Linked DNA regions of Drosophila melanogaster. The protein of the gene in region 1 interacts with the protein of each later gene in a pairwise test. Each region holds a gene or a part of one and is shown in the gene's direction. Other genes may lie near its edges.

Region 1 (4,182 bases):
TACTTTTGCCGAGAACGTAATTAAGGTGAAGAAGATTCTGGTCAACGCTGTTGGTCGAATTGCCAAGGAGGACTGGTCGGAGGACATACTAAATGCCAAGGTGAGTGAGCCGAGATAAACATCATTTAAAACTAAGTTCATCATGTGTTCCGCCCATAGCAATGCGTTTGCAACAACACAATGTCTGGAGCCATGTGACGATTTATAAAACTTTGCCACGAAATAACAGAAGAGACGCTGATTCGCCGCAAGATTTATGTGCCACCGCTCTATCAACAGTTCCACAAAAAGCGAGGACCCAGAGTTCACTCCATATCCATTACGTACGAATTAGATCCGAAAGACAAAAGGCAGCCGGTGAAAACTCCATTGAAATGTGAAACTGTAACGTCCGCGTCAGCGTCGCAGTAAATATATACATATGTGTGTAACTAAAAACATTTCCGTAATCAAATGCAATCTATTCCTAAACAAACGCTCAGATGTCTTCTGAATAATGGGACACTTTTCACATTTCACATTTATATTATTACATAGAGTTGCGTCTTTAAAATTAAAATTGGAATTCGATTGCGCTGTCCTTACGGACACTTCCGCTCGACTTGGCTCTTGCCGGCCTCTTCGTACTCCTGCGACGATATCCACATCTGTTGGAAAGTACCTATGCTGGCTAGAATAGAGCCGCCAATCCAGGCTCCAAATCTTCGCTCCACGCTGCCATTGGCAGAAATCATTTTTAGGCGCGTATTTGAGGGGGCACGCAGCTGGAGATCGCGATTTAGGCGCTCCGGAAAGCCTTGCAGAAGGGTATTGCCACCTAAGAGCAAAATATTAAGGTATAAGTAATTAGTTTTAAAACCTAGGGAAAATTCATACCAGTAACGACAACTGAGCCGAAAAGTGACAGCCGCACATCCGCATCACACATGCCCACACTGGTGGACGCCAATTGGCCAGCTCCCAGCATTGCATTGTCAAAGAGACTCTCGGCTATCTTGAACCGCTCAGAGCCAAAGTCCTGATGATAACCATTAGGAAACTCATAGTGTACCGTCGGGATTTGAGCAGCAACCCGTTCGTCGAACGGATTTTCTAGGACCTGCAGCACATTCATCTGAAAGTCTTGCATCATGAGCTGCAACATGTAGTTTTGCCACGACTGAGTTAGGTTCTCTGGCAGTTTGCGCAGCGTGAAGCGTCCGTTGTCGCGCTCCTTAACAACGTCTTTGGAGGCAATCTTGTATACCGGCGACAGATCAATGCCGTGCTTCTCCAGATGCTGGCGGCACTGTCGTGAAAGGAAGTCTCCACCCAGGGGTGACTTAACCACCGCCTGGGATAGGACATAGCCCTCATGGACGGGAACGGCCGAGGTGTGGGTGGCTCCACTATCGACAACCAAAGCGGTGGCCCGCCCGCTGGAGAAGGCAGCCAGAACGGCGTTCTTTACCAGAAAGAAGGCTGGAACATTGTACTTCTCGAACATAAGCTCGGTTAGCTTCTCGCGGTTGTTGCGGACATTCCACGATGCCTCGGAAAAGAGCACGGGATGGTATTCCGGCTCCGACTGAATGACATTGGCGTAGGCATAATCAATAACCTTCTCAAACAGGTCCCAGTTGTCAATCATGCCGTCTTTCATATAGGTCTGCACCTCCATATTGGAACGGGGAACGGTCACGTAGTTGGTGTCCACATAGAACTTGCGCTGGTCAGCATCTAGAGTAGGGGTAGGGATTGCCGGTTTTTCCGGGTTTTTAAAAGCCATAAACTAAATAAAGGCGATGTAGAAACTAACTATTTGGCGTGGCATTGTTGTCTGTTTTAGTTTCCGGATCGAGATTGGTCTCTGGAGCTGCTCCAATCCCCACAACCGAGGGTATCTCCGCCTTGGGCGAATCCTCCTGTGCGTAGCCCACTCGCAAGGAATGATGTCCAGGATCGAAGACCAGGGCGCCGATCTCGTCGCCGCCATATAGCATGGTGCCGCCACTCATATTGGGGCGTTCCGATTATTTTTTTCGCACGTTGTGTTCAAGTAATTCGCGAAAATACTTCCGTCTGTGTATATTTTGCGGCTTTTTTCACGACGCTTCTTCCTCGCTGGAGATGGTCTGATAAGTTATCGATTGTTTAAGCCAAATATTTTCCTACCTATCGCTTTGGTCGCTTACCTATCGATTGCTGTTCTCAAACAATTTCCATCGCTATTAGTTAGCAAACACAAATTAAAACTCGGATTCTAAAAACATAGATTTTATTAAAGAAATTACCGTTAAGTGGTATATTAAAACATACGGATGAATTAGTACACAAATGTGTTGTAGAACGTTGGAGAAACACAGTGCGAAAAATATTAAAATGAGTACCGACAGCGCCGAGGAAACGGTGATCCATTCCACTGTTCCCCATTTGGAGATTAACATATCAAACACCAACATCAGCGGCCAGATTGTTTTAAACGACTTGCTGCTCATGGAGATGCTCGCCCGGTATCCCTTCCTTATCATCCCGCAGGTGGAGCCCAAAATGGACGTTGACTACGACTCCTGGGGTTGGGATCAGCTGGCCAAGTCCTTTAACCAAAGCTACGAGCACGTTGAGCTGAGTACTCCGTTCTCCGTAAGTGAACTGAAGCTGCGTTGGGTGAAGCTGCGCCCGCTGGTCAGAGCCTTGGCCGGTTCCAAAGGGCAAATCCCTGAACCTCTGTGGCGGGTGATGCACGATGTGCACATTCGCATGCAAGCCCCGAATCCGGCGGATGTGCCGAAAACCAAGTGTCAGGAGTTTCTTCTCAGTCAGTTGCCTTTCGTGAAATCTATGGCGCAAGCGGAACGCCGGCATTTAGAAGTGGAGGTCCTCGCCCTCATCCTGGAGCAAGAGCGCCAAGAGAAAGCTACTCGAAAGCTGGGTCCTAAGGACCTGGAGACGGTTCAGAGCGAATACGACGAATTTCTTAAAGCGATACGGGTGAAAGAGCTCCCAGCAGACAATTTACTCAGTCCGGCCATGGACAGATTCGGCATTAGCCCACACAAAATAAGACCCAATGTCGCAAGTGCCAATAAAAGAATCAGATATAATAATGCTTGCAAAGGATCAAATGATGTCAAAATCAAAATAGAAACAGCTATTGAACCTAAAATTAAAGATACAACAAAATGTGACGAACGACCGATAGAAACACCACGCTTCGTTCCTCTTAAAAGCGCGAAATACTACATTAAAAGGTGTCGCATCCGGCTGAAGCGAGTGGAAATTGATGATTATTTACCCTTAGCTAGAATACGGCGCTCAAGGCGGCCTACGCTGAGAACATGACTTTCTTTCGTATAAAATGCACATAAGTTTATTAAAAAATACATTACTATAAATTACAACTTAAAACTATTGTATAATCCAAATAGCATTTTATATTTCACTTGCTTTGCATTCTCGAAGAACTAATAACTAAACAAACAAGGAGCGGGAGAACCTAGAGAACAGGAGAGCGGTTTAGCCGGGGCAGAAGGACGACAGGATTTTGTTTGCTCGTTGCCTACGATCGCCTGGTTCTTTCGATGCTTATCGGTAATCAGTAATCCGTTACACTACACAATCGTCAACAGATACTAAAGAACGCAATTTAACAGGTCTATAAATACAGTCGTTGGTTGAAAGCGTAGCACTTAACAAGAAACAAACAATGTTGATGAAATCTAACAAACGGTCATAGCTGCTAATCCTTTCTCAAAACAGTTGGTCCGCCAGGTTCCCAATGAACGTGGCCAGGTTCATGGATGAGCCCTCCTTGAATTTCAGTCCAATCGTCTTGCCGTAGGCTTGTATAAAAATGGCGCGCACTGCATTCAGGCGTTGCTTTCGTCTCCAATTGTAAAACAAAATTATGTCATTATGTATTTGCTGTCGAATAATCAGACTACAACTTACAAGTTGATGCATTGCTTGCTGGCCATAGTGCTGCCGCCTACGTCTTTGGAGGAACCGTTTGCGAAACCGTGCGTCGAGCTGCCGTTACTGATACTGCTACCACTTCCGCTCCCACTGCCACTCGATGCTGCATTGATGCTGCAGTGGTAACCATTGCCGCCATTGCATAAAGGAATGTTTGAGGAGCCGCCACCATCGGCTGCCTGTTGCGCCACAAAGCGCATCATGTAGCTGCCGTTCATCATGGAGTCA
Region 2 (7,576 bases), on another chromosome or scaffold:
TCCGGGTGAGAATCTCACCGCTGTAATCCTGACAGGCCTCACCATTTATGGACAACGCCTTCCGTTGCCGGCGGTCGTAGCACAACACTACATCGCATCGATCGTATTGCGGCAGGATGTGCTTGAAGGTCACGGGACGGTGGATCATGGTGATCGCATCCCGTATTTCCACTAGAATACGATCGGTATTATTCAGCTTGAAGCGTCCGTCCCGATCGGGGATGTACTGCGTGTAATTGCGGCCCATCTGCTGTCGTTGCTTCTCGGTAACCAGTGCTCCCTGGTATTCCGGCCCCAGGAGGCGTGCGAACCCATCCAAATGGAAGTACTCACGCCCGGGCAATCCGCTTGGGTACGCATGCTTCAGGAAACGCGGCTCCAGTGCCACGCCCAAAAGCTCAAGATCGTAAACACCACGCATTGTGAGAAACTGAAGGCAGTTGGAGAAACAACGAGGATGGCGCAGTATCTCCTCTATACGCTGGCGCAGCAAATCGGGCAATCTCTCCGCCAACCGGCGTTCCACTCCCGACTTAGTTGTAATATTGAAAAGGGCCATTACCAGACAAATTCGCTCCATATCCTTGAGGCGGGCAGTCTCTAACTCACGCTCGAATCTCAGCAGTATGCGCTCCACCAGTGCATCATTGCACGTTTGCAGTTCACAGCCCAGAAGAGCCATGTGCAGGCACGTGAGGAGGGAAACGCGATCCACTTGCGACTCTAGAGCGCTTAACATCTTCTTTAGCGGCTCCACTTGTGGCAGCTTGCTGCTGTACCGCAGCACCTTGAGCAGCGCTACCAGGACAATGTCTTCCACGGTGTCCAGCTCGCTGCCTAATCGCTGATAGAGTTGCGTTAGCAGCTCCGGATTTCTGATAGGCGTCTGTGTCTTAAAGAAGCCCATGGCCATTACGCCCAATTCGGACAGCGTCATTTGATCCACGCAGCGGGCCAGATTCAACTCGAAATCGAACATCTCGAAGACGGGTCGGCGCAGTAGATTGCACAGGAACATGGAGTGAACGAGCTGTTCTGGCGGCAGCTTTCGCAGCTTGCGGCCGAGCTTTTTCAGCGCCAGCCACACGTACTCGCCTATCCTGACCAGACCAAGACGATACCAGGCATCGCTCACGAGTAGCAATTGTTCACTGGACCATCGCTCGATGCGGCGACAGCACTCGATGTCCAGGGTATTCCATATCTCCATGTAGTTCTTGGCTTTGGGCGATTCCGGTACGGGCAGCTCGGCCAAGGCACTAAGCGATCCAAGAAGTTGTTCATCCGTAAGGCGATGCAGCTGCTCACAGAAGCAGCGGGTAAAGGCTTCGTAGCGGCTATCGCTGATCTTCAGTTCCATGCGATTACAGTGCCTCACCAGGCCTAAAAAGTCCGCATAGAGATCGGCAGCACTGGCATCTGGCTGTGGCCGCATAAAGCCTTCAGATGCGGGCAAATCCTGCCAGGCGGAGTCCCGAGGACGCAGTATTGCATACGGTTTGAGAGAATCCATCAGGATTCCATGGGCGAACTGATTCTCTCGGTCCGCAAATATTCGCGCTGGTGAAACGATCGTCGTGCATACTTGGCGGCGCAGACGTCCCACACTTCGCCAGAGGTAGTTTGTTCTTGCCCACATGTTTTAGAGCGATATTTGGTTGTAAATTAATTCAATTCAATTGAATTTGAATGGAAAACGCGTTATGAAAACATTCGTTGAAAAACCTGCCGGCTAAACAGCTGACTGGTAAGCAGCGTTGCCAGAACGAAGAAATTGGAGTGCTCGCAAGTGGGAGAACTTAACGAAATATTCTGCTCTCAGCGCTTGGCTGCTATCGATAACTCCACTGATATCCAAATGGGTAGCTACTAGAATGTAGCTTTACAAATTGTAACGTGTTTTTTCAACTTATTTTTGTTTAACTTAACACAAACAAAAATATTTAGCTATACAATTCTATTTCACACTCAAATATTAATCGAATGTTTCGATAACGGTATCCGTGGTCGATAACGCTCTTTAACCATTTTGCGTTTGCAACCGCCGACTATCTGGCGTCGCAAGAAACCTTATTTACGTAGATATATTTACGTAGATACGCTTGCACTTAATAATCCTGTAGTTGCAAGTTGTTCCCAAACTATTTCCGAGTGATTTTATGCTACAAAAGAGTGAAGAGTGAAGCAGTGGTTCCATCGGATTGCCCACCGGTTTCTCCGTTCCGAGAATTCTCGACGGCTTGTGTGGGGGAAAGGCGCGCGTAGGTCAAGATTGGAGCTATCAGGTGTCTAGGACATGGAGGAGGAGCCTGTTGCCATTGAAAATGATTGCCAGATAATTGTTTGTAAGTCCGACAGTTGGTCACCTGGTCAGCCGTTCAACTAACTTCCGTTTTTTTTTTTCCTCAAAGCTGACACAATTGGTCAGAAGACGAATGGCGTGGATGACGATAAGGCCCCAAATCCGTTCAGCAGATGCACTTATCCGGGATCTCGGGATGGCGGCATTCTGCAAACCTATAGGGCAGAGAGGCTGCTCATCGCTTTGGTACGCCGCCAGCCGCTATTGTATGACGCCCGGCATCCGAAATTCCGCGACGTCGCTCAAAGGGAGAAACAATGGAAAAAAATCGCCAGCCGCCTGGCAACGAATGCGACCAACTGCAAGAGATCCTGGTCGGCGCTGCGATATAAATATCAGCGCCATGTTCGTCGTCTAAGAAACTTTCATCGCAGTGCCATCCAAAAAGATCGGGCGGCCCTGCGTTGGCGTCCTTGCATGGAATACGAGGAAGAGATGCGCTTCATGTATACCCATGTGGCCAGATTCCCACTGATTGTCGACAAGATTCCGACAGAGATTCTTGAAAAAGAGCATGTGGATGAGAGCGAAACCCGGCCCGATGTGGAGGTCATAGAGAATCCGCCAATGGACATCATAGATTTGGATGTCGAGGAGGACCCCACCTATAACTACCGTTGCAACAGGTTACAGCGTCGCCTCATAGAGGCAGTCAGTGCCTATCCCCTTCTGTACGATAGCACGTGCACGGGCTATCAGAACACACGACATCGCTTTCTAATCTGGAGTGCCATTTCAAACGAAGTCCATGACAAAGCCACCAAGCTGATGAAGTGCTGGCTAAAGCTGCAGACTCGCTACGAATGGGAGTTAATCCATCGCCCACGTCATATCGGCACTTCGGAGCTGTGTCGGTTGATGGACTTCATGGAACCGCACGTACAGCGCATGCGCGGCACCGTATGCAAGTCTTCCAAGTACCTGCAAAACGGTTGGCACGAGCCCATTGAGAATTTCCACACTGTGATGGCGCTGATCACCACGATGCGCAACATGCCAGAACTAGTTCAGCTGACGGAGGACTCCCTGCACAACAAGGTGAAACCGCCGCGCTACGACGAATTCTGGCAGAAGGTCGGCATGGAAGTGATGTGTAGTCACGAGCACTGCGAGGTCACCTGGCTGGTGCTGCGCGCCTTTTACCACGAATTGCAGGCCGTGCGCTCATCCGGCTATCAGCTGCAGGACAAGTGGTTCTTTGAGGGCTCCATGGGTCTGGCCTTAACGCCAGTTACCTCTCGTTCCACGGCCCGTCCCGCACTAAAGCGGACAGCCAACGGCGCCATACCAGTGGCGGGGGAGCCTCCGGCCAAAACACCGGTGCCGGTACGTATGCCATTGGCTATTGTCTATCCGTCCACCTCAAAAGGCAGCAGCACGAGCATGACCAACAGTGCAAGCACTGCCACAAGCATTGGCCCCACCTTCACCAATGTTAGGAGGTCCTCTGGCCCAGTCATTAACAACACATCCACCGCCGCCGCCGCAACGAACAGCGTCAGTTCGAGTGTATCGCCCGATCAAGCTCTTCCCAAGTTTGTGATTCCCAAAATCACGTCCGCCATCAGTGTGGGCTCGGGATATATGATACCCCTAAAGTTTGTGCCCAACGTACGAATTTTGCCCAAGCCGGCGGCGACTATGGGAACGGGCGTGTCCCCCATCGCCACCACCAATCAGATGGCGGGCCCAAACGCAAAGCCGCCTGAAGTGCGTCCACAGATAACGCAGGGTCCTGGCTTACAGGTTAAGCTCCATACGAAGCCTCAAATGGCCAGTAGACCGCAAATGGCACCTGTAGTCCCCCGCACTGTAATTCGAACAACGAATCCAACCAATCCAGCTCAAACTCAAGACAGGGTATCCGGAGGGCCAATGTCGACACTGGGTGAACTGCTTAGGCCACAAAATCCATCGCAAATACGTTCACCAGCTCCGCAACAAACACTGCCAAATTTTGTACCAATAACAACATCGAATATTACAGCTAAAAGCAATCTGCCAACACCCACTGCGGCTCCAATGGTACGAATACACCAGCCGGGACTGAAAAGCGCTTGGGATGGCAAAAGCAATAGCGCTCCGTTCAGTAAGCCAATAAGATCACTATTAACCACATCTTCGCCTGCAGCTGCTCCTATTGTAGCAACTGCGGAACCAGCGAGAGCAAAAATAATACCACCAAAGCCCAAATTGCCAGCAACAACATTAGTAAACCCCAAAAAATATCAACCAATCGTACCGGTAGCAGTACTACCTACAGCAGCAACCAGGATGGCCAAACCTGCAACAGAACCAGCAACTGAGCTGCCTGTAACTACGCCACCAATCGCCACTGGACAAACAACTCGAGTCATACGAAAAACACCATTATTTCCTACATCTGCAACACAAGCTGCATCTGACTCATATGCCACAATACAGGGCACATTAGCAAGCCAGGCTAAAGCTGTGGGAGCAGCAATATCAGCACCAGTGGTCAGACCAGCCAAATTGCCGACAGTAGCCAAGGCAACAACAGCATCGCAGTCAGATATAAAAGCAACTGCAGCCGCATCCGCAACCCTAGGCAGTCAGCCGGAGAACTTGCCGCTTGGCAACATAACCGTGTGTCTGCACGAGAGTGATACCACTGGGAATGAACTGCAAGTTTGGTGCGGAAATCAGGGTACTCGCTTCAATCTCAATATGATTAGGACGACGACGTTGATCCGCGAGGTGATGGCTGTGCCGCAGCTGCACAAGGAAGATCCACAGTTGGCGGCCAAGTGTGTTGAGTTCTGGCATTTTATCGCCAAGAAGTTTCACATGCCAGGTAGGAGTAACTATATATATATTAGAAACATTGGCTCATACGTTCTTTTGTTCTGCAGAGGAAGCTTTGCGCGCATGCTGGAAATTCTTGGCGGCCAACATGAGTGTGTTTCCAAAAATTGCGCCGATGTCGGAACTGATGCGTCCGTTTAAGTACAGCGAAAAAGTGTGGGAAAAATCGAATCGCTTGTTTGGCAAATTTGACGAGATAGCGCTAAAATACCAGTGGTTGAATCACAAGAACGTGTTGCCGGAAGTAATACGCTTCTTCGCGAAGTACGAGTACCTCTACTGCGATTTACGCAGGCCGCGACCTGGCGAAGATGCTCAAGCTCCGCCCCAGTTGACGAATCAGGAGAAGCAGGAGGTGTGGCGGGAGGCCCGCCTTAAATTCCCAAATCGTATGTTTAATAAATGTTATAAGCCAATCATTTATTAGTAATTTTCTGTTCTTTTGCAGTCAATCATCGGGATATTTGGTCAATGTTTAAGTTCGCCTTCCGCACATACCTGGATGATTTAGAGCGCGGCATCGATAATCCCTGGCCGCAGAATTGGTGGCAGGCACTGGAGCAACTCAGGTTTCTGGTCAATGTGCGCTACCATCCGCTCGAGCCCTACTACTATATAGTGCACAACAGGATGTCAGAGGAGGTGAAGCGCTGCAAAATGCACGAGGCTCTAACGTCCTCCGATCATATCGATAAGACCAAATTTACACCGAGCAAACTTTTAACGGGCTTTTCCAAAGAACCCAAGCCATGGGAGACGGAGGAGGCCAAGCGCTTGCTTACCGGCAAGTTGAATAGCGTGAGAAGCACTGAAACTCTCACTCAAATTGCTCCAGCTCCGGCTCTAGCTTTGGCACCCGATGCCCAACCTATTCCTGTACCTGATGGCGTTTCCGTGTCCAAAAAGACAAGCGAAAGCAAGCCAGCGTCAAACGCCAACGTCAAGTCTCATAAAGACAAGAATATCTCCACCGCCCAAAAGCGGCCGACCCCAGCGAGAAGTGTCACCTGTAACAATCTATCCCCCATTGAGGCGTTTGAGTTGTGTAAGAAATTGCGTAGCCAACCAAACAGCTTCGAGCGGGCGAGCACTCTGGACAAGCGAGCCGCCTGGGTTCGCGTATCAAAGGAGTTGCATGCCACAGGTAATCATTTGCAAATATGTCAATTTAGACATTTGATTAAAAGTACATATTTTGCAGTGACCGAATGCCGCCTTGGTCTGCAGTACGCTCTGCGCGAGATGCGCAATCTGAAGATCGCCGATCCAAGCAATCAATGTACAATGGGCCACAAGTACTTGCACCACATGTCGGAAATCTATAAGCAGGTGAAGCCGAACGCCCAGCTGACAGTCCGCACGCCACAGCAGCTCAACCAGTTAAACGAATCGCTTGCGAAGAACACTCAGGAAGTTAGCCCGCAGGAGTTCCTGCCTGAGATCAATTTGTCCACTTGCAGTCCGGATCTCGTGGTGAAGAATTGGGCCTACGCCGTCGGTAACTTGTCCACGGCCAGTCAGGATACACTGCTCGGCAAGATGACGCAGCTGTTCTCTAAATACGCCAAGGTCAATCCGCCACCGCCTTAGCTCTCGAAACTTTTGGCACACGTAGTTTAGTCATACATATTCTCTGTAAGAACTTTCGCCGTACCATTGACACCCTTCATTGCCACAGAATACATCTTATTTATTATTAAGTGCATGAAATTGCAATAACTTTTTTTTTTTTTTTAAGAGCCCTCTAGAATAACTTGAATAAATGGCCACAGTCAACTTTCATATGATGTTTTGCACTGGGACTGTTAAATTTAAGATTTTAAGAGTTCCTGAGTACCATAGGTATAATACCAAACTGAAACTTGCGCAATAATAAACAGTATCTAATGTTGTTAGACGCTTAAAGTCGCAGAATGATAGCGATGAGGGCAAGGCCCCATGATTATATGTCGGTCAGCCGGCCCCGCCCACTTGTATGGCCTCTCCGAGGACATGAAAGTAAGCCCGAATAAATTGGGCGTGCAATTGGGAAAAGATTTGATTGCCAAGTTCCTGGAGGAGTGGCTAGATAATAAGGCGCACGTAAAACACAGGGGATGATTGTCTAGGACAAAGGAATGGCCAAACTATTTGACGATATACTATTTAAAGGATTTTAGTAATCCTCCCACATTTCTTTCGAAATGACGAACAGTAAACAACGGTTACTTTTTGGCTCTACCACCTTCTTCGCCAAGTTATAAGGAAAATATCAGATTTTCCTTTTTGCAGTTTTTTGTTAAAAAAAAATCACAATTTCTTCGAAAGCAATTAAAATAATTGTCCAAATGTGGAATGTCACACCTCATTGAATTCGTAAAAAATTCCCTATCGACCTGGATTCAAAGT
Region 3 (4,277 bases), on another chromosome or scaffold:
TGAACTGCGACTGCTTTATTTTCTCCTTATCGTACAATTAAAGCCCAATTGGAATTGTTAGCGACTCGTTTCATGGGCATTACGGCCGGGAAGACCGTGAGTGACTGTTCTTGTGGCTTCCCCGCACAAATATCAACCTAATACAGTGTAATAATGTCGACAAACCCAAGTCCGCAGCGGCAACAGTCCGAGGACGTTCAGATCTCGATGGCCAGTTCCGGAGGAGGAGCCGGCAATGGCGTTCCGGATAGACTGCCTCCGATCAACGTAAAGGACCAACGCTTCCCCTACTGCATCGTTTGGACTCCCATTCCGGTTCTCACCTGGCTGATGCCCATGATCGGACATATGGGCATTTGCACTTCGTCCGGTGTGATTCGTGACTTCGCCGGCCCCTACTTCGTATCAGAGGACAACATGGCCTTTGGAAGACCCACCCGGTACATAAGGTTGCACCCCAAGCACATGGTGGGCGGCAGTTACGCCTGGGACGAGGCGGTCTCCAAAGCATCTGTGCTCTACGGCACCCGCATCCACAATATCTTCTGTGACAACTGCCACTCGCATGTGGCAACGGCACTCATCTACATGCGCTACTACGACAGCACCGCATGGAACATGATTATCCTCAGCATGTGGCTCTTTGTCTGCGGCCGCTACGTCGGAATAGGGGGTTTTATTAAGACCTGGCTGCCGTTTGCCATTCTCCTGTCCATCTTCACCATTCTGGGCATCTATTTTTAATATTCATATCTATATCAAATGCTATCAATGTACAAATCTATGTACATATGACGTCCAATAAAGGATTCATTCATTTATGTATATGTGTGCTTTTTGTAGTCCCACCACAAAGCAGATAAGGAAAATACCTATCAGGCAATTAAGTTGGTCATTCATTAATGCTTCAGCAACTGTGAAAATACAGATTTTCAATTACTAGTGTTTAAGATAACGTTTATTCAGTGGATATGTCTATAGTTAGTACATATGGCTACGACTTAGTTTGGCATGTGGATGAACTTCAATTAATTCTCGATCGCGCGGGTGACTTCTTCGGCCACTTCAAGGAGTTTCTTCCATTGAATTAAAGATAGGGAGATGCCCTTCTTGCCGGGAAGAATTTGGCCGCCCTTATCGTAGAACTCTCGAATGTCCACCGATTTGCGACCGCGGAACTCGTTGATTCGCACCTGGCGAAGTCCTTCCAGGGTCCAAGATGTAGCACCATTTTCGCCCGAATCTTTTGGATCTGAATTTGGAGCATCAGATTCCTTCGCCTTCTTGCTTGCCGGCTTGATACGCTGAAAGAGGTTTTAACTTGTTATACCTAGTTTTGGTGTATTTCTAGTTAACTTACATCATCTGGACCGCTATCGCTATCTGAGGACGAATCCTTCTTCTTTGTTTTGGGCATTTTTATAGAATTTCCGTAAAACAGAAGAAACAAAACGCAAATTGTCAAAAAATTCGTGAATATTCGCGCAACTTATTCAGTGCTGTGAAACGCGTCGATAATAGTTGTGGTACAACGGATTCCTTAATCGATTCATCGATTTATTACAAAATTTTTAAAAACAGATATTGGCGATCAGTTAGTTACGTTATTATTATAGTTATGTTGTAAAATTTAGATAGTTCTTAGTGTTAACATTTTTCTAGACTTAAAATGAAATTAATACGATGTGCAAATCTATCGGAAAATAGATAAGCGTAGTCTTAGCAGTCCACGCGTACTTTCGCACACTGTTCGGCCGGCGTCATTTTAGAACGCGCATTTTTTTGCAGATTTTTCATTTTGTGGAAAGTCTTCTAGCGCCAACACACAGGCTTATAAAAACCAATTTAGCTGCGTGCATAAAGTGTAGATCTTATTTAATCTAGGTGAGCCATGAAAGCAAAGAGAGTCGACTAAAAATCGTACTTTCCTTTCGTACTTTGCGTGTGTGTGCGGTTGTGTGCGGTTGTGCTAATTCTTTCCTTATTTTTTGTCGTGTGAAGTATTTTAATAAAAACAAAATGGGCAAGAAAATCGACAACCCTGAGAGCTCGGCAAAGGTTTCCGATGCCGAAGAGGAGGAGGAGGAGTACGCCGTGGAAAAGATCATCGACAGGCGGGTGCGCAAGGGAAAGGTGAGTTTTCCGAACCAGACGTCCCATTATATTTGGTCCTAAAACGCCATTTTCCACCTGCAGGTGGAGTACTATCTGAAATGGAAGGGCTATCCCGAAACTGAGAACACGTGGGAGCCGGAGAACAATCTCGACTGCCAGGATCTTATCCAGCAGTACGAGGCGAGCCGCAAGGATGAGGTAAGTGAAGTACAATGCGATGCCAAGTACAGTTGTGCTTGCTAGGATTTCCTTTACATCTCGTTTCGGTCCGTAGGAGAAGTCAGCCGCCTCCAAGAAGGATCGACCCAGCAGCAGCGCCAAGGCCAAGGAAACTCAAGGACGCGCCAGCAGTTCGACGTCCACAGCAAGCAAGCGAAAGTCCGAAGAACCAACAGGTAAGCTATGGAATTGAGTGTACCTACAAATATTTTCTGTACACAAATTGGTATAACAATAGTCATCACCTACAATATCCACTGGCATTTATTTGCCCTTTTCGTCAAAACTGTATTCACATATGTATCTCAAATTTTGTCCTTCGCAAGAATGGCATGCGCAAGAAAAAGATGGTCTTTGCAATAAAAAAATGCATCTATTAAAAAATTGCACTGTATTAATTACTTGTTTTTATTTTATTTATTTAGCGCCCTCTGGCAATAAATCAAAACGTACCACAGATGCGGAGCAGGACACCATTCCCGTTTCAGGATCTACCGGATTCGATCGCGGCCTGGAGGCCGAAAAGATCTTGGGTGCCTCCGACAATAATGGCCGCCTGACATTCCTCATTCAGTTCAAAGGCGTGGACCAAGCAGAAATGGTGCCCTCCTCAGTGGCCAATGAAAAAATCCCACGAATGGTAATCCACTTCTACGAAGAGCGCCTATCCTGGTACTCTGATAATGAAGATTAAACAGTTGGATCATCGAAAGCGAAAAAGAACGATTATACATTTAACGAAAAATTACCCACTTAGAATTATAGCTCCTTGCAGGCGCTTTCAAAACCACCCAACCAACTCTTAAGGCATCGGACTTTTTTCCATAAATGTCCAGAGTCAGTGTCTGTATTTATGATAACCATTTTCAATAAATAAAAAAAACCTTTATTCTGCTGGAGCCTATATAAGTAACTTTTATTTGCGACTTGTTGCTCAACGGTCAGGATATGACGCGCATATGCTGACCATATGGTAATAAGGAGAATTCAATTGGTAATTCCAGAGGTCGAAAGGGATTTTGTAGCCTTAGCAATCTGAGATTATTGTGTGCACATTGTAAATGGACTGTCGGGTCTGTTGGAATGCATGTATTTTGCAGGTAGAAAAACGTTTATTTTGAAGTATCCTTGTTGTCTATCTGCGCGTGCGTATAAACTACAAGATCTTTGAAATTTCACAAGATGAACAAACAAAATGGCGAAACCTGGCTATATGTTAATTTATTCGTTTTATAGCCCTGCATCCTAATCAATTACTTAAGAATTAAGCAGTTTGTTGGCCACATTGCATTCCGAGTTCTCAAGGACATTTCCACAGCAGGACCAATGACGTCTCCCTGGATGTCCAGCATGTCCATGACCGCAGCCACTATATCCAGGCATATGACCCTCACACGAGCACATCACGTTCCGGTTGCCCTTTCCGGAACAGAAGGAGCAGCAGTGGTAGATGCCCGTATGCGGACGAACCTGTCGCGCTTGAAAAGTGAAAGGACCTCCCTTGATGGGCCGGTCGTTAATGGTGATCGTGAGAATCAACGTGCCCTGGGCATCCGGGGTGAAGGATATGTTGTAGGTGCCATCACGATTGTCCGACACCTCAACGGGTAGAAACTTGGAACTGGAGTCCTTGTACTTCAGCATGCAGTTGATCTCCAGGCCACCGTGGCAGAGGGAAACCCCGTCGGCATCTCTAGAGTGAAGCAGAAGATCCGCTTTTTTGTGGAGGCGCAGCTGTGAAAATCCCTCCCACTCAAGGGTGCATAGACTAGGCTCCACTACCTGCATGGTGATGATGCCATATAGAGGGATATCGCGCTGGTCCTTTGTCGACGGAGCACGGATTTTTGGTAGGAAGTGAAGCGAGTCGGATATCTGGGTAAAATGGTTTACTTTATAAAACAATAAAACAAGCAATTTGGTAACCTACCTTGGGATCCACA
Region 4 (3,299 bases), on another chromosome or scaffold:
GTTCTCGGACATCGCTTGTAATGTCTCACTCGCCTGGTCGCATATATATCAATATATTGTACCATTGAGGTGAAGATCTGCGAAATAAAGGGATAAGATGGAGATTTTGTTTAAAGCTCTTATTTTTCACATGCCCATGCGAAAAACCTACCTTCTTAGAAGTGGATATGTTGCACAAATAGTTTCCAACAGCTCTTGGCAAGCTTATTTACACTCATGATCAATATATATTTATCTCCACCAAAACACGACTATTTCACAAGACTAGAACAGATTGGTAGGATCTTTTATCATCGCTGACAGAAGGACACATCATAAATGTGAGGAATTTATAATGGGTTTTTGTTGCCCAGTCACGCGATGATCTCCGCTTGATGGCTTAGAAACCGACCATCAGGCAGAGCCAAGATCTATAAAAAAATTCCCAAGAAATACGTATAAGTATGTATGCATGAGCCAAACCCCTGCGGATTCCTTGGATCGCACTCTAATGATTTCCTGCTTAGGATACTGGGGCTCACCCATAAACCCAAATATGCTGCCGCTTCCCAAGAGCTGTCCCCCTGCCGTCCAATGATTAATGCGCCGATCCTTGTCCGATGCCGATGAGGCGAGAATGGGAATTATGTATTTGGGTTAATGTTACACCGCAGAGCAGCACGGCTGGCATTGCTTTAATTTTGTTTTAACACAAAAATTGCCAAGTACCAGTATTTATTTGATGTGCGCAATGCTGCGATCGGAGCTGTGACTTCGCCTTGGACGGCAATTTCCTTCCGTCGTGGTGGAGCCGCGCATCTTGATCGCCGGGTTCTCAGGCTGTGGCCAGAAAACTGGAATCCCAGAGAACCGATACCATTGCCGACGACGATGCCAGTGCTGCTGGCCATTTCAAAATCTAACTGTTAACTGCAAAAGTTGAACGTACTAGCAGCATGCAACATTCAACGGCTGCACCCACGGCATCAGCAGCATTAACGGCAGTACACTTGAAAAAATATGTTTTGAGAAGGAAAATTATTTCCTATGAAAAACTAATAATATATATGTTCTTAAATATAAAAGCTTTTGGAAAATGTAGAAAAAGTTTATGTTGTTTCTAAATACTTTTGGAATTAATTATTTTTCTGGAATACATACACACCGAGCCAAATATTCTTACACAAAAATCGATTAAATTGAAGAACTCATACATCACTTTCCTCAGTGTATGCAACTGCATCTGAGCGGGCAGCGAAACGAGTTGAAAGCCGTTTTCCCTGTTTGCCAGCCAGCTCTTGAAAGTGGTTTGTTGTCTAACTGCGTTAGTTGCTGCTTTAAATTGTGCGCCCAAGCAGCTCCAGCGGCGTTTAATGGCTCCAACTGGCGACCGGAGACCTCGGCTTTAACTGGCCACCCCGCCACCGACTTCTGTTTCTGTTTCTGATTCCGAATCGGATTCTTTTTGTTGCTGCAGCGGGTTCTCAGGCGGCGTTGGCTAAATGTCATAGCGGCGGATGCACCGAGCAGATTAATCATTAATCACATGCCCATCTGAGAGTACGAGACTTCCAATATGCGGAAATTACTGGCAGCTAGCTGTAGTATCCATATGCCCCATTCCCACCATCCCCATCACCTGGTGGCCGATCATTTCCGCCGACGAGTTGGGTTCCTTTATTTTGCCTTTATTTTGACACTGGGCCAGCAACGGCAATTACTGGCGGCGGTGCCACCGAAAACCCTCCTCCCTTCCGCCCTGATTTATGAGTTTTTAATGAGCGGCCACTTTACACGAATTCAAGTTAACAAGTGGAGCCGCGTAAGAGGCCAATATCGCAAGTAGTATCGCCGGCAATCGCGCCTTGACATTCGAGTCGTGCGAAATGTCAGATGAAGATGCACCAATGATACGCTCAATGGGCGTTGGAATGCACAATACCCTAACTAAATCTGAAAGAATATGTCCAGTCAAGGGGAGTGTACAATTTTATTTCCATTTTCTCTAACGCTTTTCAAATTAATCATTTAGGGCTGCCACATCGAAAGGGTTGCCAAAGCATGTCGATACCTACAGTTATCGAAACTGAAAAATAATATCTCGGTGTGTAAACACTTGACAAAACGTGACAATTGGCTACGCGCGTCGAAAAAAGAAAAATAGATTACATTGAAATAAATCCCACGATATCTAAAACCAAACGGAAGATGCCCAGCTCCACTTTGACGTCCTCTACTGCTCTTCCGGTGAAGCAACGAAATGGATTTGATCTTGGACTCGAACCGTTGCGGATCTTAGGAGCCTGCAACTGGTCCGGTAAGCTGACCTTTTTGATGCAGTGGAAGGGTTGCGACGAAGCCGGCCTGGTGCCCGCCGAAGTGCTCAACGTTCGGTGCCCCCAAATGGTCATCTCGTTCTACGAGGAGCGTATTGTGTTCACGGATGAGGGCGATGAAGAAGACTTGGAGTCGGACAATGGGTATGAGACCACTCCGAGTCCCAGGAAGAAACGATCACGAAATGCCTAGTCCATAAAACTATTGTGCACCGAAGACATTGCGGTGCAATGTCAATAAAGAGTATTGACTCTTCTGCCACGAGTTTTTCTTCATTTTCTGGTCGCCGTTGTCGCTGGTGATTGATTATGCATTTTCATGCGAACTGGTTGCTGATGCTGCACTTTGTTGGCATGCGGGCAGGTGAATAAGTGAGTTTAGCTCGGCCCAGCCACGCCCTCCGCCTCCTAGACGCAGCTTGATGTTGGAGACAGGCCGGCGGCATTATCTGCCGGGCGCGAAATTATACGTGTATGTATACACCGAGCGAAAAGTCTGTAGGGGTATTTGAAAGTTCATAAAAAAAACAGTTCATAAATGGTGCACTTGCCTCATTAAACTTTTTCCAGTGCACTTAATGCTGTCAGTGACCTTCACATCGGGGCGTTGGAAAACCTGCAATTAGAAAAGAAGGTTAAGCCGCAGGATCAGACTCAGCTCTCAGATTCCATGTTGCAGGCGCCTCAAGATTCACGCAGTCAACTAATACGTACATAAAAAAAAGGGTTAAATTGGTGGCGCACCTTTCTTGCAGCGACATTTTGACATTGAAAAAGTATAATTAATTGAGGGGCCCACCAGCAGGTGGGCGTGGCCAGGGGCAGATTAAATCGATTTATGCAAGATTTATGGCAAAAGCGCACAAGAAAGAGAAGAAGCGAAATAAAATGGGGCGCCGCCTGGCATTTCGAAATCAATCAAAGCCCAATTGCCACTCACATGCAAAGTGCACGAATTAACTTGAAAAATTCCCAACTACTGGA

What was found.
Region 2: the proteins of Lhr (region 1) and Hmr interact in a two-hybrid assay, tested with the Drosophila melanogaster proteins (one study listed by BioGRID).
Region 3: the proteins of Lhr (region 1) and Su(var)205 interact in a two-hybrid assay, tested with the Drosophila melanogaster proteins (3 studies listed by BioGRID).
Region 4: the proteins of Lhr (region 1) and HP6 interact in a two-hybrid assay, tested with the Drosophila melanogaster proteins (2 studies listed by BioGRID).

The regions. Positions count from the first base shown.
Region 1 is NT_033778.4:17,428,844-17,433,025, forward strand, and holds Lhr (lethal hybrid rescue), read left to right. Parts: upstream 1-2,188; 5' UTR 2,189-2,316; coding exon 2,317-3,321; 3' UTR 3,322-3,376; downstream 3,377-4,182. Other genes in the region: Mtap (methylthioadenosine phosphorylase), read left to right, coding at 1-100, 160-198; Bap55 (brahma associated protein 55kD), read right to left, coding at 582-817, 877-1,719, 1,799-1,997; EDTP (Egg-derived tyrosine phosphatase), read right to left, coding at 3,730-3,865, 3,931-4,182.
Region 2 is NC_004354.4:10,590,313-10,597,888, reverse strand, and holds Hmr (hybrid male rescue), read left to right. Parts: upstream 1-2,033; 5' UTR 2,034-2,296; coding exon 2,297-2,345; intron 2,346-2,411; coding exon 2,412-5,177; intron 5,178-5,235; coding exon 5,236-5,577; intron 5,578-5,636; coding exon 5,637-6,332; intron 6,333-6,389; coding exon 6,390-6,778; 3' UTR 6,779-6,969; downstream 6,970-7,576. Other genes in the region: CG2124 (uncharacterized protein), read right to left, coding at 1-1,639.
Region 3 is NT_033779.5:8,208,586-8,212,862, reverse strand, and holds Su(var)205 (suppressor of variegation 205), read left to right. Parts: upstream 1-1,740; 5' UTR 1,741-2,019; coding exon 2,020-2,133; intron 2,134-2,196; coding exon 2,197-2,313; intron 2,314-2,389; coding exon 2,390-2,510; intron 2,511-2,759; coding exon 2,760-3,028; 3' UTR 3,029-3,237; downstream 3,238-4,277. Other genes in the region: CG8372 (uncharacterized protein), read left to right, coding at 154-744; Ssb-c31a (single stranded-binding protein c31A), read right to left, coding at 1,029-1,304, 1,361-1,417; CG8419 (uncharacterized protein), read right to left, coding at 3,592-4,209, 4,265-4,277. UniProt on the Drosophila melanogaster protein: Structural component of heterochromatin, involved in gene repression and the modification of position-effect-variegation. Recognizes and binds histone H3 tails methylated at 'Lys-9', leading to epigenetic repression.
Region 4 is NT_033779.5:4,576,992-4,580,290, reverse strand, and holds HP6 (heterochromatin protein 6), read left to right. Parts: upstream 1-2,072; 5' UTR 2,073-2,187; coding exon 2,188-2,508; 3' UTR 2,509-2,572; downstream 2,573-3,299.